Linked DNA regions of Yarrowia lipolytica. The protein of the gene in region 2 purifies or fractionates together with the protein of the main gene of each other region. This does not show direct contact. Links are inferred from orthologs where the notes say so. Each region holds a gene or a part of one and is shown on either strand. Other genes may lie near its edges. The genes, in order: YALI1_A00746g and YALI1_B28292g.

Region 1 (8,450 bases), on a different chromosome or scaffold from region 2:
TACCCTCAATGACAGTGGGACAGGTGGTGACGGTGTGGATGACGGGGACACAGGTGGTCAGAGTGACGACAGTGTTGCTGCAAGCGCTGTTCTCGCAGTGGGTGACGGTCTGGGTGGTGGTGAGGGTAGTGGACTCAGCAGTAGTGTTTGCAGCGATGGGGGAGACAGAAGCAGAAGCATCACCGGAGACAGCGGCACCAGAGGAGGCAGGGGCGTCGCCAGAGGCAGTAGCAGAAGCAGAGGCATCACCAGAGGTAGCAGGGACATTACCAGAGGTAGCAGGGATATCACCAGCAGAAGAGCTGGAAGCAACTTCATCCTCTGCGTTCACAGCTTCCAACCAAGCCTCAAGCTCGGCAATGGTGTTCAAAACACTGTCGAGGTTGGCCTGAAGAGCATCAGACTTGTTCTCGATGGGCTCAATAATGGCAACAACAGCTCGCAGCTGGTCCAGAAGAGTCACGACATCGTCGATGAGGTCAGAGGCGGTATCTCTCTTGGCAATCCACATCATAATGTGTCTCTTGGCAGCAGTTGTGGCCTGCAGCTCAGCTAGACGGCTCATGACACTGTCAAGAGAAGCGGAGACGTCAGCCACAAGCTGCTGAAGCTCAGGGGAGTCGGAAACTTCGGCAAGGAGTGTATCCAGAGTGTCCTGAAGACCAGCAATGGTGGCATCGAGCTGCGAGAGCTCCTCGGCTGTAGGAGGAGAGGGAGTGGTGGTAGAAGTAGGAGTAGGAGCAGGGGTGCTAGCGTCGACGGGGGTGGAGTCGACAGTGGCACTAGGAGACTGGGTGGAGCTCACGACAGAGGCAACGGGGGTGGAGTCAACGGTGGAACTGGTAGGCAGGGTGGAGCTCTCGAGGAGTTCGACAGGAGTAGAGGCACCAGGAGACTCAGTGGAGCTATCGATGGTAGTAGAGGCACCAGGAGGGTCGGAGATGATGTCAGTTGTGTTCTGAGCCAAGACAGCTGAGACGAGAGTGAGGGGAATAAGAGACAGCTTCATGTTAGCGAGCGAGTGAATGGAGAGCGAGTGAAAGAGTGACTGGGGATTGAGGACAGGCAAGTTGGGGGTTTATGTAACATGTTTGTGTATAACATGATGAGTTTGTGTCCGTGTTTCTCCTTCCAAGCTAGCCCAGAATTGTGCTATTTAGTTGAGTCGGGTTTTGTTGATTTTAGCACGGGTCTATTGTGTGTTCCGCCGTGTGCTATTGTTTGGCGGCTGCACAATGGCGATGAGCCATCAGTCTTGCCGTGCATATATCTATAGATGATCGATATCATATCGGACAAGATCACATTGACCAGATCTCATTTATCAAAATCATCTCGAACAAAGCACGCTGATCAACATCTCCCGTAATGAAGACGCGTCGCACAACCAATGTTTCGACGTGCTGACAGCTCGCCCACATTCATCAGGGGGGTTCCAAAACAAGGCAAGAGGCTTTCCGCCTACTGTATCGGATATGCGGGTATCTGATTATGGGTATAGACGTCGGACTAACCATGTGGCGGTGGGGTTGGGGTGAGAGATGTGGGGATTTCTGCTTGGTAAAGGCAGACACAAGGCCACAAAGAAGAAGAGGCGGTGCTGTGTAACCTAAGCTGGTGCTCTGTGTCTGGAAAGGGGGGTGTTGCAACGCTCGGTGTCACGAAATGTCTTCTCGAAACTCCAGAAGACCGCATTGGGCCGAAATACTGGGCGGTAAACCTTTTTATGGCGCTAAAAGTTCCGCTTCTCAGCATTCCGAGGTTCCCGTGCCCCCCTGGATGTCATCTCTCAGGTCGACTGGCATTCTTTGCATTCTTTCAGCCGCTTTGGAGAGTCGTAGGGTGCGGTTAGTGGAGAAGAATGTCCACTGTATCGTCGATGGATCGAAACCTGTACTTGTACAACTATATGATAGAATAAATCGATAGATGACATATTGCCAATAAAAAGTACTAGCTGATCATCTTATCAGTCTTGCAACTCGATTTTCCTGTGGAAGATCTGATGGAACGTACGGTACAGTTTCTTCAAACGATTAAATACTTGGTATTAGTTGTGAACTCTTCTTATAGTTAGAACTGTGCGTTAAGGGTGAACTGATCTCCCATTAAAACAGTTGAGCCAGCTAAGTACTGATAACAAACAACGTACTGTCCTTGCAACACATGTAGTCACACCATCCAGAGATGGCACTAAAGGATACGCTGTCACGCCACGCAGAGATTGAACTAAAAGATACACTGCCACTTTGTACACCCAATGTCATCAAGAACCCCCTTTGACACATGCTTATGCTAATGTACCGGATGTACTTGACATTCTTTAGATCAGTCCAGCGCTCACAGGTGCTTGCCATGAATAGCCGTATTAGTGGGTAGAAACATAACAGTCTCTGAATATCCTCCACGTTCTCAACTCCCCGTCTCTGAACTCCCCGTCTCTGAACTCCACGTATCTGAACTCCACGTATCTATCTAAAGTGCCCTTCTTGTAGATCTTCCAGCAGCGGTTGCATGTCAGAGTGGAGACCAATAGAATGATGGACCTGCTAAACCGCAGTCACATCCAAGAAGTAGGACCGGTAGGTGGTCACAAAGACTCAAACAAGCCCGTAAAGATCTCAATTGGTCCGTCCTGAGTATCCAGTATAAGCATCACACGTGCATCCACATTTCTTGTACTGATACTCAACACCTACACCCCTGGTTTGACACAACAGCACTTGACCAGTCTGAGATCCTCCCATAAAGTCCCTTTGGTCGATCATCTACATCTGTTTGTGCTTTACACATGTATCCAAGTCAGTGACAGTACTCTAGATCTATTCTACTTGTATGAACTATAGATTAGGCGGGGTGGATCCTGCCCTAGGTCAGAACTACCTAAGAGAAGTAGGCATAGTCACCTCCGGCCTTAGCGGCGGCCTCAGTGATGGTAGCCTTGGCCTTGGCGGCATCAGCACCGTCAAGAGCAGCAGCAAGATCACCGAGAGCAAGGTCGTCAATTCGGTTGAGCAGAGCATCGAGATCGATGTCAATATCGGCAGACTTGGCCTCGTCGCCGAAGTAGCCGTTGTCCTTGGCGGCGTTTCGCACAGCTCGCTTGTTCTTCTTCTTGGCGGACTTGGCAGCCTCCTTGGACTTCTTGGCGTTCTCCTTGTTGGCGGCAGCCTCCTCAGCCTCCTTCTTGGCCTTGGCAGCAGCCTCCTCGGCCTCCTTTGCGGCCTTAGCAGCGGCCTCTCGGGCACCGGCCTCCTTCTCCCACTTCTTGGCCTCCTTGGCCTTCTTGTCGGCCTCCTTGAACATCTTGATTCGGGGATCGAGGGACAGAGCAAGGTCAACGGCCTCTCGGAATCGGGCAGTGTCCTCGGTCTTGTGCTTCTGTCGCTGGGCCTTGTTCTTCTTCTCAATGTATCGCTTGTGGTCTCGGTTGGAAGAGTCATCGGGAACATCCTCGTCGAGGTACTCAAAGGTTCTCCACGAGTCGAAGGAGTACATGGCGGCGTAGAAGCCCTCCACCTCGGCCTTGGAAGACTCCATGGTACCAAGAGAAGGACAGGGCTGGGTCTTGGAGAATCGGATCTCGGAGTCGAAGAAGGGACCCCACAGCTCGATGAAGTTCTCGGCGGTGGTCTCCTTCTTGGTGGGCTGCTCCACATTGGCAGCCTCGTCGACGGAGTCGTACTGTCGTCGTCGGTTGGAGTCCATCAGAACCTCAAACGCCTTCTGGATACACTTGAAGAAGTCGTCCTCGTCGAGCTTGGAGCCGGAGGCGGCCTTCTTATCGGGGTGATGCTTGAGCACTCGCTTTCGGTGGGCCCGTCGGATCTGGTCCTCAGTAGCTCGGTGTCGAAGGTGAGAGATACCCAGAACTCTGTAATGGTCCTGAGACTTCCAGTCCTTGGCCTCTCGCTCGAGATCCTCAATGTCTTCAGGCTCGTCGCCGAGATCGGCGTCCTCATCCTCGCCCTCGACCTGCTTGACGTTCTTGGCGGCCTCCTCCTTCTCGTCCTCAGACCAAGTTCGGCCTCGCAGAGTTCGTCGCGCATGGGCCAGGAACCCGGGTCCAACGGGCTCAATCTGTCGCTTGACAGGAGAGGTGAAGGCGGAGTGGGCAACAAAGCCCTCGGAGTTGGCAGAAGCCCATCCGGAAGGAAGAGTAGGCAGAGACATGGTGTTGTTGTGCTGGTGTGAAGGAGAGAGTTGGTAAGGGTAAAAGTTTTACCAAAATGTCAGATTAAGGTTTTTTCAATCTTATTAAGCAACGGGGCCTGAAAACTGCTGCTGTAGAGAAGTGAGACTAGTATGTCGTTGTGTAGTCAGATTAGGAGCTCTTTTTGGGCTATTGTGACTTACTCATTCATTTTTTGCCGTTCTACGTGCCATTTCACGTCACATGATCGTTTCTGGCTACTTTGAATGCCTTCCCCCACACTCCCAGACTGCACCCTAACTCACACTACCAATACAGTCCTGAAAAAAATATCCGACAGACTTGAATATGTCATGCTACTTCTCACAAACTTCACATTGGAGACATCCTACAGTCCAGTTGAGAGATACGCTAGGGGGCGTTTCACTTTCAATCCAAGGTACAATACAGTAGAAACAATACCTCTATAAGTAGAACGGATATTTACTGATATGATTCGAATCAGAGTGAGCCCCTGGGCCGTTTGGTGATCTTGATACTTGTTCTCTCCTATACGCACTCTCTTATCACTTAAATAATAATTACCATAAACATATACAAAACCCATTCTTTTCATAAGTAGGTCCCCTTGGACCAGTCCTGCTTAATGTGCAGGCCAAACCACTGAGTTCAGACTTCACCACTAGCTGCGCGCGCCATTCGCTTCGCCCGTTACTCGCTTAGCACTCGTCATCTAGGCCTTCTGTCCATCAACAAACGTCAGCGCATCCTCCCGAGTAATACTCTTCACCGTAGAAATCTTGTTGTTGAATAAGACTCCGTAAAACTTGTCAGCCACGTGAATCATCTCATTTCGGAACGTGGTGCAAATGAACTGTGTAGGCTGAGGAGCGTTGGCAATCTGGGAAATCACCTGCGCCACAGCAGTTCGATACTGATCGTCAAGATTAGCGTCAATCTCGTCAAACAGGTAAAAGGGGGCAGGATCGGACCGCTGGATGGCGAAAATGAGCGCCAACGCACACAGCGACTTTTGACCTCCCGACAGCTGCTCCACTCGCTGCTGCTCGTTCTCCGTCGAGTTGAACGACACGTTGATCGCCACTCCAGTGTACGAGTCAGGGTTCTGGTCGTCCAGAGCCCGTCGCTCGATCACCAGCTGACCCTTTCCTCGAGGCACAAGCTGTTGGAACACCTCGGAGAATTCCTTGGACACTTGCTGGAACGTTCGCTTGATTGCTCGGTCCTTCTGGTCGTTAAGAGTGGAAATTAGCTCCTCAATGGACTCTGCAGACTCCATGAGGTTCTGTCGACGTGAAAGAAGTCGATCTCGGTCCTTGCTAAACGTCGCAAATTGCTCCAGAGCTTTCCGATTGACGTGGCCAAACTTCTTGAGCTCGTCAGACACCTCTCTGAACTCCTGCATCATGTCGCCGTCGCTCTGGGCAGACACATCGAGGAAAGCATCGTCGGGCAGAATACCAATCTCTCGAATCTTGGCCTGCACATGCTCTCGTCGCTGTTCAAGGGCCTGTCGCTTGGCTGCAACTCGCTCGGCAGCCTTTGCAAACTTGGACAGCTTTCGCAGACTCTGGGCCTGCTCATCCTTGAGCTCGGCGAGGTGAGCCTCGTCGTTTGCCACCTGCTGCTCCGCGGTCTCCAGTGCTTTCTCAGTCGACAATTGCTTGCTGGCAGCCTCCGACAACTGCTCCTCCATCTGAGCAAGCTTGCGGGTAAGCGTGGCAGCCTTCTCGGCCAGCTCGGCAGCATCAAAGTCGCCGTTGTGTTGCAGCTCCATGTCGTCTCGAGACAGGTACAAGTTCTGCTGTAGCTCGTTCTCGAGACTCAGACGGGTCATTTCCAGAGCAGACACCTTCTGTTGAAGCTCGGCGACCGAGGCAGACAGGCCAGGAAGAGTCTCGCAGACCCGCTCGAGCTCTTGCTGCTGAGCAGAAGACAACTGCGAGCTGAACTCGGACACCAACTCCGAGTTATACGACTCCAGCTGCGACTCCATCGACGAGATGTCTCGAAGCAGCGTCTCGGAGTTGTCCCGCTTCTTCTCAATAAGACCCTTGAGGGTTGTGATGGCCGCGGTCTCGGCCTTGATGGACTCAGAGGCCCGCTGCCGGGTCTCTTCAATCTGCTGCATTTCCATCAGCAGTTTGTTCTGCTCCGTGTGGCATTCAGACAGCCGGTGCTCCACCTCATCAACGCTGTTCTTGATGGCGTTGATCTGCACACGGATCTGACTCAGCTCCTCCTGGGCCTCCTGCACGTCTCGAGCAGCGTCCAATCGGCTTTTCTTGGGGTCGTGGAAACCACCAGTAAGCACACCCTTGGCATCCACTCGATCTCCACCCAAAGTGATGGCGTTGAGGTTGTGGTTTCGCTGAACAGCAGCACCCACCTGCAGATTGATGCACACAATGGTCTTGCCAAAAACTTGCTGCACCGCAGGCTCGTACTCTGGGTTACAAGAAATCTTGTCGACCAGTGGGAATACGTTTTCGGCCTCGGGGTACTTTCTTCGCTCGGGGTTGAGCCGGTTGAGAGGCATGAACGTCAGACGACCGCACTTTTCACGCAAAAGCTGCTCAATCACCTTGGAAGCAACATCGTCATCCTCGACAACCACATGGAAAAGCGAATTGCCAGCAGTCACCTCAACAGCTCGCTTGTACTTGTCATCCAGCTTGATCAACTCGCACAAGGGACCATAGACCTGGTCCTCCAGTCCCAGCTTCTGGGCCACTCGTTTCAGGTTAGCCAAACCAAGGGAGGTGTTTCTGTCCATGGTAGAAGCAAATGCTCGCTGCGCCTTCTCGACCTGCTGCTCCAGCTGGTCGCTATCCTTGAGAAGATACGACTCCTGGCGCCACAAAGCCTTCTTCTCATCAGCAATGCCCTCTCGGGCCTGTTGGGAGGCCGCGTGGCTTCGCTTGAGCTCAGAGTACCGCGATTCGCAGTCAGCAAACGCTTGTCGCTGCTCCACAATCGCAGCATCCTTGGCAGTGATTTCACGCTCGCACTCTTCCACACTTCGCTTGCCCTTTGCCAGGGCCTGCTTTCGACTCTCCAAAAACTCGGAGATCTCTGCAATCTGTCGTTGCAGCCACTTGTCCCGAGCAGCCTTGGATGTGAACTGTGCAGATCGGCCTTCTCGGGAGAGCAGTGAGTCCTTGGTTGCCGAGGCTTCTCGCAGAGCTCGATTGGCAGCCTCAAGCTGACTTTTGAGAGCATCCCGCTCGCTCACGGTCGCCCTCAGCGAGCTCTCCTTGGATTCAATCTCGCCTTGCACCCGCTGCAACTGCTGCTCACGTGACAGCTCCTCGTGCTGTAGCGTACCATGGATTCGGTTGGTTTCAGCGAGCTCCACCTCGAGGGACGCCTTGAGTCGACGGAGCTGAGCAACGTCGTCACGTGCATGGGATGCAGCCAGATCTGCGTGCTCACGTGCCCGGCTGGAAGTCTCAATCTCAGCCTCTACTTCGGAAATGACCAAGTCCTGCTCCTCGATCTTAGCAAGTCGAGCAGCTCGGTCGGAAGCGCCGCCGTCGTCCATGTCCTGCAGCTCCACCAGCGCAGTCTCCACTGCCTTGAGCTCGCGGTCCTGCAGCGCAAAGTCCAGGCACTTCCGCCGCTTGTCCAGCTGCAGAAATTCGTTTAGCTCCTGCTTCTCCTCCTCCAGGTCGGACAGCCGCGTGTTGATGTCGTCCAGTGCGCTGTTGATCTTGAGAATCTTGTTTTCGTTCTCAATCATGAGCTTCTCCGACTCGGATCGCCGCTGCTCGTAGACCTTAGTACCAGCCACCTCCTTGAGCAGCGCCAATCGCGTCTCGTTTTTCGCGTTGGTGAGCGCTGTGATTCGTCCCTGAGGCACAATGTAGTAGGGATTGGCCCGCGAGAAGCCCGCAGACTCCAGCAGGTTCATAATCTCAGACCGTGTGCTGGACTTCTTGTCGAGCGAGTACTCGTCCTTCTTGGAGCCAATTGTCCGTCGAATGGTGACGGTTTCTCCTCCGGTGGGCAGTCGACGATCACTGTTATCGAAGATGATCTCCACGAACGCACTCATTGTCGTGCCAGACATGCCGGAGCCCTCGTGAATGAGAGCAGCCCGCTCCTCCTTGTTGAGGTGGTTGTAGGCGTCGGAGAGAACGAACCGGACCGCGGCAAAGAAGTTGGACTTACCGGAACCGTTTCGGCCAACCACCACGTTGAACCGTGGCGAGAACGGGTCGATCTCGACCAGGTTTTTGTACGACTTGAATCCTTGGATTCGAATCTAGGTTAG
Region 2 (9,101 bases):
ATCGGCACCCTGCGAAACTTCGGAGACGGAGCTCTCAACTTGCAAAAGGGCCAATGGCTCAAGGGAGTGGCCCTGGGCAACGACATCTCCGGCAAGACTCTCGGAATTCTCGGTATGGGCGGAATCGGCCGAGAAATCAGAGACTACGTGGCTCCTCTGGGTTTCAGCAAGGTGCTGTACTACAACCGAAATCGCCTGGCCCCCGAGCTGGAAAAGGACTCTGTCTACTGCCAGTCGCCTGAAGATCTATTTTCCAAGGCCGATGTCATTTCCATCAACGTGCCTCTTAATGCTGCTACCAAGCACCTCGTCAACGCAGAGTCCATCTCCAAAATGAAGGACGGAGTCATCATTGTCAACACCGCTCGAGGCCCTGTTTGCGACGAGAAGGCCCTAGTGGACGGTCTAAACTCTGGAAAGATTGGAGGAGTCGGTCTCGATGTATTCGAGCGAGAGCCTGCCATTGAAGAAGGTCTTTTGAAACACCCTAGAACCCTGCTTCTGCCTCATATGGGAACCTGGTCCCACGAGACCCATTTCAAGATGGAGAAGGCGGTTCTGGACAACCTCGAGAGCTTTGTTGATACTGGAAAGGTTATCTCCATTGTTCCTGAGCAGAAGGGCAAGTTTTAAAATGGTAACAACTAACATAGATAGGGGGAGGGGGAGCTACAGTTTCCAGTAGCTAAGTAAGTACAAGTAGAGCTAAACGCATAAACATGCATTGTGTAGAAAGTACAATTGTAAGACACAGTAGTTTACCCATATGCACCTGCACGAGACGATAATGCGCGGGGAAAACAGGTCACGTGAGATGAGGTTTTGAATGCGGATTGTGGCTCACAAGCATGATAAACAGTTAGTTAGGTAAAACTATATGAGAATATAGACCTAAATTTATCTCTAAACATTGTTAATAACATGGCTTCTCCAGATTAACATTGCTGACGTAATTTAAAAATAGGATTACATATTACGACAACCCGGAAGCTAAATTAAATACGAGCATATACGAGATGAGATGATTTTTTCTTGAGTAACTGACTACAAGTACCGGACCGGTACTTGTGCTGTAAAAAAATAGTTTTATGTATACACGACCAGCATATTTGGAACATGGGGCTCTCTCAGACAAGCGAACATCATAATCAAACTCAGGTGACCCGGCACAGCGGCGACAGCTGGTTTGCTGATGGATGACCAACAAGTTACTGGCGACAAAGCTTACATTTACTGAATTCGATGATGCTTGTATGAATGGTTCTATCTACCCAAATGTTTCACTTGAAAGGCGCACTAAAGATGGAGCTCCTATATCAGAAGGGTTACAGAATTGAGTATTATAAGGGCTCCGGCGGCCATAGTCGAACCACTGTGGGCCTGGAGAACACTTCAAATATCCCAACACACACTACGATACGCACAACAGACGACCTGTGTGCGCACCACAACATACAATCTCAAATGATATAAATACTAAATACTAAATACTACCGAATCGTACCCGCAGTACATTTTTTGCATCCCTGAAACAAACACAAGCTTACTTCTTGAGAGCAGCAAGCATCATCTCCTTGGCCTTCTCCAGACCCTCGGGGGAGCCCCGCACGGTCACGGCAGAGTCAGCAACACCAGCCTTGGGGATGTAGATCTTGCAGCCAGACTTCTCTCGGATGTGAGACACGGTGGCTCCATGAGGACCCACCAGGAATCGGTATCGAGAGGTGTCAGGGAGCCACAGGTATCCGGTCTGAGTGTGCTTGAGAGCAACATCCAGAGCAGCCTCAATGATGGCCTTAGCCTTGGCAACGTTCTCGTCAGAGCCCTCAAGCCTCCAGGGGATGGTGCCGTTGGCAGCGTGGTCGACAGCGTCCTCGACAACAGACCATCGGAACGAGTCCTTGTCCTCAGAATCGGAGCCAATGGCACCAGCGGGGACAACGGGGTTGCCGTCTCGAGGAGTTCGGACAGAGCCGTGGTCAACGTTAACCTTGAGTTCGTACTTGAGCTTTCGGGGCAGGTTTCCGTTGTCGGACACAGTGGTGTGCAAGGTTCGGGGGACCAGAATTTCCTCCTTCCACTTGTCCTGGGACAGCTCCTGGATCTTGGCCTTGGCGGTAGCGACATCCTCAGCCTTACCGGTGATGGAGACGCCGGTGTCGAGCTCTCCATCCTTGTTCTTGGCGCCCTGCTTGGGGATCTGCAGAGTAACCTTGAACTTCTCCTCGAGGGATCGCTTGGCAGCACCTCCAGCTCCAATGAGATCTCGGTGCTTGGAAACGGGCACATCAACAACCTCAGAGATCTGGGACTCCCGCTCGGCAACCATGTCCTGGATGATTTTGACAATCTTGGCCACAATCTTCTTGGAGCCCTGGACTCGCACCTTGTTATCCTTGGTGCCGGCAGCAGGAACAGCAACGGTTCGAGCAGCAACGGAGGGGGTCACGTCGGTCATACCGGCCTTGGTGAGGATGTCTTTGAGAGTCTGACCGCCGGGACCGATCAGAGCACCGTGGAACTTGGGGTTCACCTCAATGTGCTCAATGACAGTGTCCTGGAACTCAGAAACGATAGCCTGGATCTTGGCAGCAGCCTCCTTGACGCCGGCCTTTGTACCAACAATTTCAATGTCAACGTTGCCGGTCTCGTCGGTGTTATCCGACTTCTCCTGCTTGACGTCGATTCGAGTGTTGGTGGAGTCCTTGATGTCGTTGATGAACTCTCCGCCTCGACCAATGATTCGGGGCAGAGACTTGACGGGGACGGAAATGGTCTGCGAGTGCGAGTTCTCAATCTCGTAGTTTACGAGATCCAAAATCTCCTCCTTGGCCTTCGCCACACCCTTGGAGGGACCTCGAAGGACGATCTCGTTGGCGTTCTCCTCACCGGTCTTGGGGAACCGAATTCGAACGTCATACTTCTCCTCCAGTCGCTTGACAAACTTGCCACCAGTTCCAATCAGAGAGGCGTGGTGGTCAGCAGGCACAGGAAGCTTGACGTTGACCTCGTCGGCAATCTTCTTGGCGAAAGCCAGAATCTGAACCTTGGCCTCGTCGGCGTTCTTCTTGATACCCTTGACAACACCCTGACCGGACTCGTCGAGATCGATGTTGACGCCGTACTCACGGAACTTGGCGAGCTGGGAGCCGCCCTTGCCAACAACATGCTTGACATGCTCGGGAGGGATCTGGAATTCGGTGGTGTACTGGGACAGAACAGCATAGTTCTTGCCGTCCTCCACTGCCTCCTCGATCTCCTTGAGCACTCGGGTGACCTCATCCTTGAGACCCCGCACGTAGATGGAGTCCGCAGAAACGGGCTCCTCAGCGTCCTTGATCTCGTCACCAAAGGTGACTCGGACAAAGGGCTCGTGGCCCTCGGTTCCGCCAACAATGGCTCGAAGGGTAGTGTTATCGGGACCTCGGACAAACTTGTGTTCGCCAACGGGGACGGAAATTAGCTTGCCAATGATCTTGGCCTGCTTCTCTCGAATATCGGCAAAGGAAGAGTCGACAGCAGCAAAGGTGGCCTTGATCTCGTCGGCGGAGGGGCCGAAATCATCCTCCTCAGAGGTGCCCTCGTAGATGAGAATCACGTCACCGTTAACCTTGGGGTTCTCGGGCACCAGGACAGTGACTCCGTGGTCCTTCTTGTACTTGGCCAGGTTTCGGTCCTTGGGGCCAGCGAGGTTTCGCAGGAAAAAAGGATCAATGTCAGACACTCGAGAGACCTTGGAGGGCTCGTACTTGTTTACCAGAGCCACAATGGCCTTTCGGGCAGCCTTGACAGCCTCCTCGTTGGGACCAGAGGTCTCGATAGTGACGGCCTGGGCGCCAGGAGCGTAGAGCTGATCGGGCTGCTGGATGTAGATTTCGACCTTGTACTCGTCAGCAATCTTCTGGAGCATACCAGAGGCCTTGAAGTAAGAAGCCAAAGCCTGGGCATGGGGCACGCTCTTGCCATGTGCTCGAGAAATGTCCAAAAGATCAATCTTGACGGAGTTAACCTGCTCAGACACCTTGTTCATGGCGGGCTTGATGTCCTTGGGCAGACCCAGGAACTTGACGGTGTCATCGGAGGTGTTGGGGGCCTGGGGCACAGTGATAAACACGGAGGTGGCGGCAAAGACATCCTTGGCAGAAATGTACTTGTGCTTGGAAGCAGGGAAGGACTCGGTGGAGGTGATAAGGTCGGTGGACAGAGACTCTGCAAGACGCTCAAGTCGTTCCTTGACGGTAGCGGTGGCCTCTCGGTCGCCAGACAGAGTGATGGTGGCGGCCGTGGTGAAGTTGGGAGCAAAGATATCAGGGATGCTGAGCTTGACGTCGTCCTCGCCCTTGGTGAGGTCTCCGGCGGTCTTGTCAAGGAAGGGGAACAGCACATAGTTGACGTTTCGAACTCGGATGGTCATGTTCTTGACTCGCTCGGACACAATGGCAAAGATCTCTTGCTTGGCAATAGCAATACCCTCAGAGTCACCCTCGACGATGACCTCGACCGTCTCCTCGTCGTCGTCGGCGTTGTTGCCGTTGGACTCGAGCTTCTCAATCTGGATATGGGCACCGGACTTCTCAAGAATGGGCTTCAGGTTGGAACCTCGAGGGCCAATCACAGCAGCTCGCACGCTAGCGGGGATCTCAAACTTGGCGACAATCTTCTGGGACAGGGCTCGGTGCAGCTCACGTCGGGCCTTGGCCACGTTCTCGGGGGTACCCTTGATGACAAAGGAGGTGTGGCCCGTAATCTTGGAGGTGGACGAGTCGATGGTAGTGGAGGTGTTGGCCTTGACCTTAGCAATGATCTTGGGCAGCTCGGATCGCACACCAACCTGCTGCTCCTCTCGCTTGAGAGTGAAGACATCGGAGATAGTGGTGGAAGCGGCTCGACCAAAGGACTGAGGGGAGGGGGCAGCGGGAGCAGAGCCTCCCTTACCCCAAACAGCCTTGGGGGCAGCGGCACCACCATTAAGAGCGGGGAAAGCCTCGAGAGAGTTGATATCGAGACCCTTTCGCTTGGAGGCGGCGGAGGGACCGGCGACAGACTTCACGGGGGCGGCAGGGGCAATCTCGGGAACGGGAGAAGACTCCTTGGACAGAGAGCCCTCAGAAACGGTGAGGGTGGGCTCGGCGGCAGCGCTCACGGCAGCATGTCGTTGCCGGAGAAGCTCAGCGGGGGACAGGTCGGACATCTGTGTTAGTGGGGTGGTGGTGGGGGTCGTCATGTCTTGACAGCATCTTGTGTGGCACAAGCACACACATCAGATAACTGTTGGTGTAACATGTATAAATGAGATCCGGCAGATGTCAGTTGATTCAATGAATTATCCAGGGCATGCTCCAGTGTACAAGGACTGTGTCCACTTGTGCATCTCCTTTTTGGTCTCCATGGAAACAGATCAAATGAGACACTGTTTAGCCATAACGCAACCTCTGCGGCATCAACACTCGGATCCTCGGTCTCAATTCATACTCACTTCAACAAAAACAAACAAACAAACAGGGAGGGGACCAGACAAACAAAACTCTTCAAGTTCTGTATTCCAAACGGGGTTTTGGGGGTAGAGAGAGTTTTTGATGGGGATGAAAAATAGACGCCAACCTTGTCTTGTGGAGGTGACACGTTGTGCATAGCGACACGACTGGTTGGGGGCTACCCTAATACAGCATGATGCAATGCACAGAGCCCCAAACACCTGTCAAAAGTGCTTGAATGTTGCTCAGAAGTAGAGCAACGACATACGGACCAGAAGAAACAGTGGTGAATGACAGAGCAGAACTTCCATTGTAGTTGCAACAACTATATACGACGATATTCTGACGATACTTTCTGTTCCCTCGTGTTGCATGATGCCCGAGAAACTCTGAGCTTATATATATTTCAACATTTCACGACGATGATGGTGATAATCATGGTTGAGAAGGAATGAGTCCGATTTGGCGCGGCAAAAATTTGGCGTCGCAAAGATGACTGTAACGCACTAACATCGTCATCTGCAGAAGCAAAAAGCTTTGTAATGTCATTTTCCAAAAAAGGGCCGAGCAGGGATTTGAACCCTGGACCTCTCACACCCAAAGCGAGAATCATAGCTACTAGACCACACGGCCGGTTATAAAATTTTTGCGTTGAATCAATAGGATCTGAAATATCACCGAAATCACGTGACCAGATTTTTGGACGAGTTTTTCAGAGTGGATAATGCTTCGATATGTGTCGGAGTTTTTCTAAGGGGGAAAAACTTGACTCGAAATTTTACCTAAAGTAATAATATATGCGATAAACGTTTTTGTTTATCTCGTTATGTTAGATTATGTATTTTCAGATCTCCGTGATTATATAAGCGAAACCCGTTGTTTGTCACAAAAAAGTGGACATGGTTATGTAACGTGAGATGAGAAAATGACGCTAATACATCTTAAAATTCATCGTGGTATGATCATTTCAGCAAACTCTTCATGATAATCATTTGTCTCAACTTACTCCAATTATATTTACTTACGTATCAGAACCTCGTCTCACCTTCTGTTGAGCCCGCAAACCTCAGTTTTTTTTGGCTACTATTTTGATTTGCACGCTGTGAAACATGAAACACCTTCGGTCGTGTTTTTAGAAACGGATCATCGCTCAGCGCACGGCATATTTCTTCCTTTTCTGCTCAGATCGATCATCATGAGATTAGCTCAAAGGATGAAAGTAGAGTCAGATTCAGGTCAGGACCGTATAGGACCTCTTTATTTGTGCTGCTACTTGTACAAGTAGTGAGAGTGTGGGAATCCGAAAAGTGACGTAATAGTCTGCTGATAATAAATCCTGAAACGTGGACAAGAACTTATCTGGAGTGGTGTGGGATTGGACATGGATATATTTTTTCACATCGTATTATTCACCTTAAGATTGAGTCAAAGTTGTACATTCCAATCCTCGAGAATGTACCTGGGCACCTGGGTGCACTGGTGTGGCTGCTTTGTAAGTGAGACCCAGAGTGTGGTCAAAAGTGTCAAAGTGCCCAATTTCCAGCTATATCGAACCAACGGACACGTGGGTCCCCACAGAGCTGTCGTCTACTGTCCTACGAGCTACACGGGCTCAGATGGCATGAGAGTGCTGTTTCCGGCATTGACTGGATGGGCTTACAAGCAAGATTATGTCTCGGGGTGCAGGATGAAGGCTGCCTAAAGTTTCAGAGACCAAATAAAACCAGGGGTAACGGTGGAGCTAAACAGTTGGAGCCCCAGCAGATCCGGGCAGGGTGACATTTAGTGCTTTTTCTGGAGATTAGCTGGCGGATATTGCAAGCCTTTCGAGACAGTTGCAGGTTCAGCCCGTTAAATGGCAATTATCACAGGAAGTCTTAGCTAACGTAATTAATGGACATGCAGATCATGAAGCCGTCATTTTGGTATACCGAAATGGGATCGGAGGTAACAATCGACAACAAAACATGCTCAAAGGAGAAGACGTAGACCAACAAAGCCCGCCGGCAGACGATTCATTTGTGACCCTTCCAGCTTCGCTTTAGATTCCAACCAACATGTTCCTTGTGCGTCAAACCCCTATTTCGTGCATGAGGAGTACTCTATCTAGCCGAAAGGAGAGTGTTTTCCCAGACCATATACAAGCCGAATCAATAGCCATTCACTCTTCTCGGCCATCCACAACATGGGCGCCTTCCGAAACCTCTTTGCCCTCTTTAGACGAGACGACCGTCAACGGCCCAGAGCCCCCGAGCGTGCCAAATCGTCCTCCGCACGTCTCCAATCCACCACCGCAGGGGTTTCAGAGCTAGGAGTGTCCAAGACCCGCCCGGCTGTTCACCGAGTTCAATCTGAGTCCGTTCCCAAGTCCAAGACCGGATCTAAACGTTTCTCTTTTAGACGCAGTGTTTCTGGTCCGTCTCCGCCCACTACGTCTTCCTCCAGCATCGATCCCGCTCGACCTACAACCTCTCCCTCGCCTGTCAAGTCTCCAGCAGCCGGAAACGACAGTGTTCCGAGTCTCGACTACTCGTTCGACCGCACCTTCCAAACCATTGAGGAGGAGGAGTCGCTTGTTTCACCTGCAGTGGACACCCGCAAGTTCAGAGAGAGTCTCAAGAAGGAGCTGCTTCTGGACCTGGACGTCTACGACTCCAAGCCGTCGAGCAAGACTGTCACGGCCAAATCGTCACTGCTGTTCGACAGCACAGACAGACCATCTTCCCAGCTGTTTGACGCTAGCCGCGCGTCGCAGCTATTTGACTCTAAGCTGGGTACACTTGATCTGTCGTTTGATTTGGATCCAGCGACGAGTCCCAATCTCAATTCCAAACTTTCACAACACAGCAACACCACAGTCGGATTAGGTTCAAATTCAGGAGCACCTAGCGTGCATGATTCAAGCAGAACCCCTACCCACATTCCCCTGTTTGGATCCGACCACACGAACCCCCCAGACCACACCAGTCCTGATCTCGCTCCTGCTCTTGACTATTTGCATTTGAACTTAGACATGGGCGCCGACGACACAGACACCAAGACGGTCGACTCAATCGACACCAAGACTGTCGACTCCCAGGATACTAAAACAAGCCTAGACACAGTTCCTGACTCCCTTTCCGTCACCTCAGCAACCTCGTCTTCCTCCAAGTCCACCAAGAACAAGAAGAAGAAGGCCAAGGCTAAGGCTAAGAAGGCCACCACGAAATTGGAATCATCAAAACCAGCTTCACCGGAAATCGGCTCTCTGGAAGTCGATCTGGACGACGATGATGACGGACTCGACTTTATGGCGCAAGAGCTCGAAAACATGAAATTGGAGATGCAGGGCAAGCGGGGCAAGCGAGAGTCTCCTGAACCGGCTGCAAAGGTTGAGGAGAAGACTGCTGAACAGCCTACATCTACCGACTCTGCTGTGTCCATCTCAAAGAAGTCATCGGAGAAGAAGAAGAAGAAGAAGAAGAGCAAGTCTGGCGACAAATCGGACAAATCAAGCAAATCGGAAAAATCGGACAAACCTGATTCGACTGGATCGTCTACTGCACCAATTGATCTCACCTCGCCAGTGGCCACGTCACCGATTGATCTCACTAGCCCAGTGGAGTCTAAACTTGAAACCATTGCTTC

Evidence for each region.
Region 1: the proteins of YALI1_B28292g (region 2) and YALI1_A00746g purify together in Saccharomyces cerevisiae (affinity purification with mass spectrometry; 3 studies listed by BioGRID). This does not show direct contact. The link is inferred for Yarrowia lipolytica from reciprocal best matches to the Saccharomyces cerevisiae genes SCP160 and ZUO1.

The regions. Positions count from the first base shown.
Region 1 is NC_090770.1:70,501-78,950, forward strand, and holds YALI1_A00746g (uncharacterized protein), read right to left. Parts: upstream 4,174-8,450; coding exon 2,884-4,173; downstream 1-2,883. Other genes in the region: YALI1_A00715g (uncharacterized protein), read right to left, coding at 1-1,009; YALI1_A00789g (uncharacterized protein), read right to left, coding at 4,887-8,441. UniProt on the Saccharomyces cerevisiae protein: Component of the ribosome-associated complex (RAC), a heterodimeric chaperone complex involved in regulation of accurate translation termination and in folding or maintaining nascent polypeptides in a folding-competent state.
Region 2 is NC_090771.1:2,825,350-2,834,450, reverse strand, and holds YALI1_B28292g (uncharacterized protein), read right to left. Parts: upstream 5,225-9,101; coding exon 1,544-5,224; downstream 1-1,543. Other genes in the region: YALI1_B28349g (uncharacterized protein), read left to right, coding at 1-633; YALI1_B28268g (uncharacterized protein), read left to right, coding at 7,660-9,101. UniProt on the Saccharomyces cerevisiae protein: Involved in the control of mitotic chromosome transmission. Required during cell division for faithful partitioning of the ER-nuclear envelope membranes which, in S.cerevisiae, enclose the duplicated chromosomes.